Linked DNA regions of Callithrix jacchus. The protein of the gene in region 3 purifies or fractionates together with the protein of the main gene of each other region. This does not show direct contact. Links are inferred from orthologs where the notes say so. Each region holds a gene or a part of one and is shown on either strand. Other genes may lie near its edges.

What was found.
Region 1: the proteins of CAV1 (region 3) and VCP purify together in Homo sapiens (affinity purification with mass spectrometry; 5 studies listed by BioGRID and IntAct, with this or other methods). This does not show direct contact. The link is inferred for Callithrix jacchus from reciprocal best matches to the Homo sapiens genes CAV1 and VCP.
Region 2: the proteins of CAV1 (region 3) and KCNA5 purify together in Homo sapiens (affinity purification with western blotting, with the first as the bait; 3 studies listed by BioGRID). This does not show direct contact. The link is inferred for Callithrix jacchus from reciprocal best matches to the Homo sapiens genes CAV1 and KCNA5.

Annotation. Positions count from the first base shown.
Region 1 is NC_133502.1:141,939,408-141,942,959, forward strand, and holds part of VCP (transitional endoplasmic reticulum ATPase), read right to left. Parts: intron 2,980-3,552; coding exon 2,846-2,979; intron 2,768-2,845; coding exon 2,632-2,767; intron 2,320-2,631; coding exon 2,207-2,319; intron 1,810-2,206; coding exon 1,645-1,809; intron 1,556-1,644; coding exon 1,433-1,555; intron 1,183-1,432; coding exon 970-1,182; intron 484-969; coding exon 175-483; intron 1-174. UniProt on the Homo sapiens protein: Necessary for the fragmentation of Golgi stacks during mitosis and for their reassembly after mitosis. Involved in the formation of the transitional endoplasmic reticulum (tER).
Region 2 is NC_133510.1:18,649,381-18,653,133, reverse strand, and holds the start of KCNA5 (potassium voltage-gated channel subfamily A member 5), read right to left. Parts: upstream 2,176-3,753; 5' UTR 2,060-2,175; coding exon 251-2,059; 3' UTR 1-250. UniProt on the Homo sapiens protein: Voltage-gated potassium channel that mediates transmembrane potassium transport in excitable membranes. Forms tetrameric potassium-selective channels through which potassium ions pass in accordance with their electrochemical gradient.
Region 3 is NC_133512.1:87,138,923-87,141,602, forward strand, and holds the end of CAV1 (caveolin-1), read left to right. Parts: coding exon 1-188; 3' UTR 189-2,051; downstream 2,052-2,680. UniProt on the Homo sapiens protein: May act as a scaffolding protein within caveolar membranes. Forms a stable heterooligomeric complex with CAV2 that targets to lipid rafts and drives caveolae formation. Mediates the recruitment of CAVIN proteins (CAVIN1/2/3/4) to the caveolae.

The DNA.
Region 1 (3,552 bases), on a different chromosome or scaffold from region 3:
CTTTGGCCACCCCATTTTATTTCTGATTCTAGATTATCCTAATACCCTCAAAAATTCTCCCTGCCCTTTAGACCAACCCTAACCCCAATGGAATCTTGTCCAGAAACCAAAGAGCACTCCATACCAGCCTGAGGACTCATACAAGTCCCCCATAGCCCATGATCTTGCACCTGCCTTGGCAACTGGGGACTTGCGCAGGTTAGCCTTGAGGATGGCAACACGGGACTTCTCATCAGGAAGTGGGATATAGATGAGCTGATCAAGACGGCCAGGTCTGAGGATGGCAGGATCAATGATGTCAGGCCGGTTGGTAGCGCCAATTATGAACACATTCTTTTTTGTGGACATGCCATCCATTTCTGTCAGGATCTGGTTGATGACTCGGTCAGCAGCCCCACCACCATCTCCAATGTTACCTCCACGAGCCTTGGCAATCGAATCCAGCTCATCAAAGAATAGCACACAGGGGGCAGCTTGGCGGGCCTGTGGGAGGAACAGACTGAGTCAAGCTCTAACAAAACTAAATCTCTCTGGCCAAATGCAGTGGCTCATACATGCATTCCCAGCACTTTGGGAGGCCAAGGTGGGAAGATCACTTGAGGCCAGGAATTAAAAAACAGCCTGGGCAACATACCAAGACTTTACCTCTAAAAAAAAAAAAAAAATAGCCAGATGTGGTGATGCATGCCTGTAGTCCCAGCTACTTAGGAGGCTGAAGTAGGAGAATTGCTTAAGCCCAGGAGTTCAAGGTTACAAGTGAACTATGATTGCACCACTACCCTCCAGCCTGGGCAACAGAGCCAGATATTGTCTCAAGAGAAAAAACAAAACAAAACTAAACACTGGATCTCTCAGACCTCAGAAAGATTACTGTCCAGTTGAGTAGCCAGCACTGTTTCAACTCTCTTAAAGAAAAACAGTTCTTGCCCCCAGGCAAATGAATACAGAGTCCACCCTATTATAGCTCACCTTGTCAAAGATTTCTCTGACATTGGCCTCAGACTCCCCAAACCACATGGTGAGAAGCTCAGGACCCTTGATGGAAATGAAGTTGGCCTGGCATTCATTAGCAATGGCTTTGGCCAACAAAGTTTTCCCACAGCCAGGAGGTCCATAGAACAGAACTCCCTTGGAGGGTGTCATGCCAAACTTGAGGAATTTGTCTGGGTGCTCCACAGGATACTAGGACAAAAAGGAAAGAGGGTTCAAGGCTACCACCATATTTTGAAAGAAACCTAACCAAACGGAAGCTTCATGGTGTACCCAATGGTATCAGATCCAGGTTCTCTAAAAGCAGACTCCTTAATGCCTCAAACCTAAGAACAGTAGGTTCCTAAGTTGTGCTCTTACAACTCTTGCAGCCAATGTGTTGATACCCTGAGACCACCCACATCACTAAGGCAGTGACTCACCCTGGACCAAGTTACCCTACCTGGACCAGCTCCTGAAGCTCACGTTTGACATCCTCTAGGCCGCCGATGTCTTCCCAGGTTACCTGTGGCACCTCTACCACAGTTTCCCGCAGTGCTGATGGGTTACTCTGGCTCAAAGCCCACTAGAAAAGAAGGGAAAACTGGATGAGACTTACCAGGGAAGGGTCAAAGCACATTAGGTGTGTACCTGAGGTAGGGGTGTGGTCCTTACCCGGAAGTCATCCATAGTAACTGCTAGAGAGTTCATGACCTCGGCATCAATGGTCTCATCCTCTAGGTCAATGAGATCCATCTTCTTGCGGATGGCTTGCAGAGCAGCCTCTGAGCACAGGGCTGCTAAGTCAGCACCCACATGCCCATGAGTCTCATTGGCTACCTGTAGAGAAAGACCTACTTACTATGCTGCCTCCAGCTCCCACAGGAGGCTAAGAAACAACAGAAATCCTTCCCCCGACTCCTATCCCTGGGTCCTCTCATTTCGTTGAATATGTACTAGCAATGTCTTTATTGGCTGGGTTTTAAGTACTCAATTCGGGACTTGAGGCCTAGAAATAAAGCTGCCCCAGAAATTCTGATTTACTCTAAATGCAGTGTTAACTGAGAAACAAGTCAACTCCAATTTCCTGGATTCAATCTCAGATCACTTCCTTTCCCCTGTCCAGAAATCAAAATCCATCTCCTCACATCTTAACCTTATGTTCCAAGCCAGTTCCCAGCAACTGCCTAGAAACAGAGATATTGTAATGCCCAGTCAGCCCTCATCATCACTTTACCTGTTCCAGGTCCACATCATCTGCCAGCTTCATGTTCTTGGTATGGATCTGAAGAATTTCCAAGCGTCCTGTAGCATCAGGAATTCCAATATCTACCTCCCGGTCAAAACGACCTGTGGGACAGTACATGAACACAGACAGGGCTCATTTCTAGTCCAGAGGGAAGAGACAGGCCTAGCAGGACCAACCATCTCAGTTAGCATAGGATTGTCCTGATGTTAGCAGTGAAAAAGTCTCAAACCCTGGGAAACCTTTCAGTTTCAGGAAAACCAAGTGGTTGGTCAGTCTAGACAGGATGCAGGATAAGGGAAAAAGACCCCTGGACCTAATCACTGCAAAGGGCTTCAAGAGGATTAAGTGACTTAGATGAAGGAGAGAGGTGAGATGTAAGCAAGGGCAGGGTTGGATATATCTGGAGTGCTTACCAAATCGCCGTAGAGCTGGGTCAATGCTGTTGGGTCTGTTGGTTGCTGCCATGACAATAACATGTGCTCTCTGCTTTAGGCCATCCATGAGGGTCAACAACTGTGATACAATACGCCGCTCCACCTCGCCATGTGTCTGCCAGAACAGGATGTCTGGTCATAAGTGAAGTTAGAGCCTTTCAACCCCCCACTATCCCTTCAGGTAAGCTCCTACTTTCTCTCTTTTGGGAGCGATGGCATCCAGCTCATCAATGAAAATGATGGCAGGAGCATTCTTCTCAGCCTCCTCAAAGGCTTTACGAAGGTTGCTCTCAGACTCACCAGCCAATTTGCTCATGATCTCAGGACCTGAAAGAATACAGAATGGAGGCAAAAACAAAATTATAGCCTTTCCTAATTACCCAAAAAACAGTTATCTTGCTTGTCTGGCTCAGAGACAGGTCCTGGTGAGAAGGTGGTGACCTTTGCCTACTTCTCAGATCCTCTACCAACCATTATCACAGGATAGCCACCAGTCCAGGCTAGAGAGAAGCCCAGGGACTCAGTATACTCTTCTCACAGTTGAACTAGAAGTATAAAGGTGACAGCAAATGCTCTGGGACCTATGGCTAGAGCAGGAGAGATGGCACACCAGCTAGATCTCTACCAGCTAACAGTATTCTCCAAGAGCCAGCAATCCAAGTTCATTTCCCCGAAAATCTCTCATATCAATAAGCATTCACCCATTAATTTCTCATTCTAGCTTGCTCCCACTCTTCGGTCTGTCCACAATCTTTCTCAAAGGGGACAGGACAGGGAGCACCAATGTAAAGTATCTTCCCTTTATTCTTCATCTGTCTGTAACATACCCCAGGAGAAGAAATATACTATAAAAGTGCAGGTGGGCATGAATGCAAAAGGGATCGGTCCATGAGCTCTCCA
Region 2 (3,753 bases), on a different chromosome or scaffold from region 3:
CCATTTCAACAGCTCCTGCGTCATGGAACGTGGTACTTTTTAAAAATAGGCGACCCTTGGGTGTCATGGAAAGAAGAGGGAAAATGGGGGGATGGAGGGAGGGAGGAAGGGAGGAAGGAGAGAAGTGAAAGGAGAGGGTAGACTGAGGTTACAGTGTGGCTTCCAATACTCTGCGGTGTAATGTAGATACCCATGTTCAGCAAGCCTCCCATTCCCTACCCCACTGCCACCAGTCTGCCTGAATCTCCATTTACAAATCTGTTTCCCGGCTGGCATCCAGGCAGAGGGCATACAGGGACCTCCGCAAGTCCACGTTGCTCTTGGCCTTGACGTTACACTTCTCCAGGGGACAGCTGCCCCTTTGGGCGTTGTCTGCATTCTCCAGGGTCACCCCAGCCTTGCAGAAGGATCCCCTGCTCCCGCTGACCTTCCGCTGGACTCCTCTGTCCAGCCCCGGCCCCTGGCTCTGAATGCCCTGCTCTTCCTTAAGGACTGCCGGCTCCTCGTGGTCCGTCTCCCGGTGGTAGAAGTAGTTGAAGTTAGAGACGATGACGGGCACAGGTAGGGCGATGGTGAGGACCCCGGCGATGGCACACAGCGAGCCCACGATCTTGCCCCCCACAGTGATGGGCCTCATGTCCCCGTAGCCCACAGTGGTCATGGTGACCACTGCCCACCAGAAGGCATCAGGGATGCTGGAGAAGTGGGTCCCCTGGTTGTCAGCCTCCGCGAAGTAGACGGCACTGGAGAATAGGATGACCCCGATGAAGAGGAAGAAGATGAGCAGCCCCAGCTCCCTCATGGAGGCCTGCAAGGTCTTGCCCAAGATCTGCAGCCCCTTGGAGTGGCGGGAGAGCTTGAAGATGCGGAACACCCGGACCAGGCGGATGACTCTGAGGATGGCCAGGGACATGGCCTGCTGCCCATTCTGGCCGCCTCCTCCGCCCCCCGGCTGCTGCTCTGCCAGCTCGGTGCCCAGGGTGATGAAGTAGGGGAAGATGGCCACCACGTCGATGATGTTCATGATGTTCCGGGAGAACCCTGCCTTACTAGGGCAAGCGAAGAAGCGCACGAGCAGCTCGAAGGTGAACCAGATGACGCACGTGGTCTCCACGATGAAGAACGGGTCGGCCAGGGTCCTGGGCAGGAGTGGTGCCACTGTGGGGCCAGAGGGCTGACCCACAACCCCACTGCCGTTGGCCCCAGAGGCGGGCGCGGGAGGCTGGTGGGGCGCCGGTGGGTGGCGGAGCAGCTCGCGTTCATCCCTGAACTCGGGCAGGGTCTCCAAGCAGAAGGTGATGATGGAGATGAGGATGACCAAGACCGAGACGATGGCGATGGCCCGCGCGGACCCAGAGCTCTCCGGATACTCGAAGATAAGCCACACCTGGCGCTGGAACTCGTTGCGAGGCAGGGGCTTCTCCTCTTCTTTAATGAAGCCCTCATCCTCGCGGAAGCGCTCCATGGCCTCGTCCCCCAGCTGGTAGAAGCGGATCTCGTCCGCGAACACGTCCAGTGAGACGTTGACCGGCCTCCGCAGGCGGCCCCCCGACTGGTAGTAGTACAGGATGCCATCGAAGCTGGGCCGGTTGCGGTCGAAGAAGTACTCGTTCCTCAGGGGGTCGAAGTAGCGCAGGCGCTTGGCGGGGTCCCCCAGGAGGGTGTTGGGGAACTGCGCCAGGGTGCCCAGCTGCGTCTCGAAGCGCAGCCCGGAGATGTTGATGTGGACGCGCTGGTGGTGCAGAGCCGCAGCGCCCGGAGTCTGTTCCTCCTCCGCGCCCAGGCCGGGGTCGCCTTCTTCCTCTTCGTCCTCCGGAGGCGGCCGCCGAGGCTGTGGCGGCTCCTCGGGCAGCCGAGGCAACGGCCGCGCTCCCGGATCAGCGCCTCTCTGCGCGCCGCGTCCCCTTGGCGCCGGCTCCTTGGGCCCATCGCTGAGCCCAGCCGTCGGGGGACACTGGAGCTCTCCCCCTGTGGCCTGGCCGAAGCCTGCCCGGGCCTCATCGCCTCCTCTGACCGTCATGGCCCCGCCGTTCTCCAGGGGCACCAGGGCGATCTCCATGGCGCGGGGGCAGGGGGCATGCTGCGCCCCAGCTGACCGGCTCCCGCGCCCCCTACTCACGCTCCGCTGGCGCCTCGCTTCGGGCTCCGCTCTCGCGGTTGGCCGGCCCCCTCTCTGGGGCGAGCTGGGGTTGCTGGCGCGATCCCCTCGCTTGGTCCTGACGTCAAGAAGCCGCTGCCCTGCTCTCTGCCTCTCTCTCTCTTCTGGCAGCCGGTTACCAAGCAGCCGAAAAGCCTCCTTCCAGCAGATGCAACCTTCAGCCGCCCCTCTTTGGCTGCGCCGCGCTTGGCCTCCACCCTGGGCGCCTCCCCCGCCTCCTCCCCCGCCTCCCCCTCCTCCCGCTTCCCCTCCCCCCCGCCTCCCCCCCCCCCCCCCGCCCGCTTCCCCAGCCTGGTCTCGTGGCACCGAGTGTCTCCCGGGAGGGCGCAGCTGGGGCCCCTAGCAAGGGAAAGGAGGGGCCGAGAAGGGTGCAGCCCCGCGGAGGGAGGGAAGGAGTGGGGAGGATGGAGGAACAGGTTGTACCGAGAGCGCCGAAATTCCCAGGGCAACCAGATGAGAATAGCTCTGGATTTCAGTTTCACCTGGGAACCCGCTGGAAGCCGAGTGGACTCCAGAAGGAACGAAGTGCCTTGGGTTAAAAGGACAGGCTTTGAGCTGAGTCGGAGTACGAGAGACAGAGACGGGAGACAACAGTCCTTTTTACTCTGGAGAGATAACGGTGTTTCTTTGGGAAGAATTGCAGACGGGAGGGGGCGTGGAGTAGTTACGGACCTTGAAATACATATTATCAATGGAGAAGCACCTCTCTTCCCGTCTTCCTACAGATCCACAAAAAGGTATGACGGGGTTGGAACCTTGCAGCGTCCCCATACCCTGCCCTGTTTCTAGTATGGACCCAGTGGCAGCCCAGGCAGGCAGCCTAGTCAAGAGATGAGCTGTCTGGTCTCAAACCAGCAGAACCCTTCCACCCCCTGCAACGAATTCCATTTGCAAAAGCCACAACAGGGCAGGAGGGGAGAGATTTTTACAATTCTGGTGAGGGCCGATCCTGTCTGGTGAACCTTGGAGCTAGCAACTGCATCAAGGTCCATGAAGGGGGCTGAGGGTGGAGGTGGTGTATGAGAGGGAGCCAGGGAGATACTGCAATCTCCAAGGCTGGAGAATTCCCAAGAGTGGAATAATAACAACCAGTACTTACTTGGCTCTTATTATGCACCAGCCCGTTCTCAGCACTTTAAAATAATGTCTCTGGGTATTCCTACAGCAACCTATTTTGTAAATACTATCATCATCACCATTTTATAAACGAAGAAACTGAGGCACAAAGAAATTGACAGACTCACCCAGGCTCATGCGGGTAGAAAGTGATGACGCTGGAACTCAAATTCAGAGTTTGGCCCTCATCCCCTATACTTCATCCCTCTTCAGAAATGCATAATGCCCTTTTCTGATACAAGCCCTCCTCACTCTGACATCTGGCCTGAGAACTTTAGTTCCCTGCTGCAAGAGGCAGAGGGTGGCTGATATAACATACTCATCTTTCTAGGTTGGGACACTAAGGAACCTTCCCCTACCCTTGTCTTTACCTCTACAGGGGGTTTTAGCAGGCATTGGTAACCAAGAGAAATGTTTCAAGCTGTGTGTCTGTCGGTTTCTTGGATTTAAATGACCATAAAGTGGCTGTGTTGTTGAAT
Region 3 (2,680 bases):
TTTACTTTGCCATTCTCTCTTTCCTGCACATCTGGGCAGTTGTCCCATGCATTAAGAGCTTCCTGATTGAGATTCAGTGCATCAGCCGTGTCTATTCCATCTACATCCACACCGTCTGTGACCCACTCTTCGAAGCTATTGGGAAAATATTCAGCAATGTCCGCATCAGCTTGCAGAAAGAAATATAAATGACATTTCAAGTATAGAAGTATACCTGATTTTTTTCCTTTTAATTTTCCTGGTGCCAATTTCAAGTTTAAAGTTTCTAATACAGCAACAATTTATGAATGAATTATCTTGGTTGAGAACAAAGAAATCACTTTCTCAGTTTTCATAAGTATTATGTCTCTTCTGATTTATTTCATCTATTTTTTGGCAGTCTGAATTTTAAAATTTTTTTCTTTACCTTTTTATTTGCGTGTGGATCAACCATCACTTTATTGGCTGAGATATGAACCTATTGTTGAAAGTTAATTTGAGAGAAATATGGAGAACTGAGGAGGGAAAAAAAAGAACCAACAACCTCAACTGCTACTCTAAAATGTTGGTCATTTTATGGTAAGGGAAGAATTCCAGGGTATGGCCAGTGAGTGTACAAGTATATGGGCAGATTTTCAGCAAACTCTCTTCCCACCATTACGGAGTTAGTGGATTGCTGCATTCATTTTCATGATCCAGTAGGATCCAGTGATCCTTGCAAGTTAGAAAACATAATATTCTACCTTCTCATGATCCAACTAATGCCTTACTCTTCTTGAAATTTTAACCTATATTTTCTGTGCCTGAATATTTGTTATATAGATAACAAGACCTAAGTGCCTTCCTGTTTTTCACATTTTTTTAAAATAGGGTCTAATGCATCAACATGCATTAGGTCAGCAGCTTCCCTGAAGACCAAAATTAGAATACCTATGACTTAGTCTTCCATGAGCATTTCTGACTCTGAGCTAGAGTCCAGTCAAGCTCGCATCTGGGCTTTATCATGTGGCATCTTTATCCATAGAGATGGTCGACAGTAGCCCGATGAAATGAATTAAAGTGGACCAATGGGGCTGAGTCCTCTGTGGGCTGGCAGGCGTGGAAGCCAGCTTTCGCTGCCTGTCATCAGCTGAATGAGGTCAGCATGTCTATTCAGCTTCCTTTATTTTCAAGAATAATCATGCTTTTCTGAATCCAAACTAATCCATCACTGGGGTGGTTTAGTGGCTCAACATTGTATTCCCTTTTCAGCTGATCAGTGGGCCTCTGGGGAGGGGCTGGAAAACGGAGGCCATTGTGTGAGCCTGTCGAGTTGCTGCAAACATGACCCCTGCTCAGTAAAGCACTTGCAACCGTCTGTTATGCTGTGACACATGGTCCCTCCCCCTGCCAGGAGCTTTGGATCTAATCCAAGCATCCCTTTGCCCAGAAAGAAGATGGGGGAGGAGGCAGTAATAAAAAGATTGAAGTAGTTTTGCTGGAATAAGTTCAAATTCTTCTGAACTCAAACTGAGGAATTTCACCTGTAAACCTGAGTCATAGTGAATGCTGCCTGGTATATCCAAAAGCTTTTTATTTCTCCTGCTCATATTGTGATTCTGCCCTTAGGGACTTTTCTGAAACCTTCAGTTATGCTTTTATTTTTTTTTTTGTACACTTATTGGAACTCCGCTTGATTTTTGCCTCTTCCAGTTTTCTTGACACTTTGATTACCAACCTGTTACCTACTTTGACTTTTTGCATTTAAAGCAGACACTGGCATGGACATAGTTTTACTTTTAAACTATGTATATAACTGAAAATGTGCTATACAGCATACTTTTTAAATGTAAAGATACTTTTATCTTTATATGAGGAAAATCACTTAGGAAATGGCTTTGTGATTCAATATGCAACCTGTGTATTCCAAGACATGTCTGTTCTACATAGATGCTTAGTCCCTCAGGCAAATCAATTGCTGGTCCAAAAGATTGCTGAAATTTTATATGCTTACTGATATATTTTACAATTTTTTATCATGCATGTCCTATAAAGGTTACAAGCCTGCACAATAAAAATGTTTAACAGTTAAACATTCAGCTTTATTATTTTCCCCCAAAACAGGTGTTTATATGTCAGTGTCTGTGTGTGTCTATGTGTTTGTATGTAGTGAGCATGTGTATATGTTTGTAGTGTGTTTGTGGGGGGTAATAGTCTCCCACTTTAAAATTATTACCAAGTCACTTAGGATATTTCTGCTAAGGTCATCAACATTCATAAGTTACTTCAGATAAAAGTTATAATTAATAACAAAGATTTGTTTTAGCAATTTCCCCAATGTTTTATTATATTTCATCTAATTTGAGCCCCCAGCAAGCTTGGATATTAATGCTTTCATTTGGTAAATGACACAATTTGCATTCAGGGGGCAATGGCTTCAACTTTGCTATGCCTTAACTGGGTTTTAAAAAGGTATATTGCAGTCCCAATTTATGTTTGTTGCTTTGCTAAGTTGACATTCAGGACTGTATTAGGGTTCTCCAGAGAAACTGAACCAATAAGAGATAGATGGAGATAGATAGACAGATAGATAGGATAGAGATAAAGAGAGAGATGAAGATAGAGATAGAGATGGCCATGGAAATAGAGAGATGGAGCTAGAGATAGATAGATAGATAGATAGATAGATAGATAGATAGATAGATAGATAGATAGATATGAA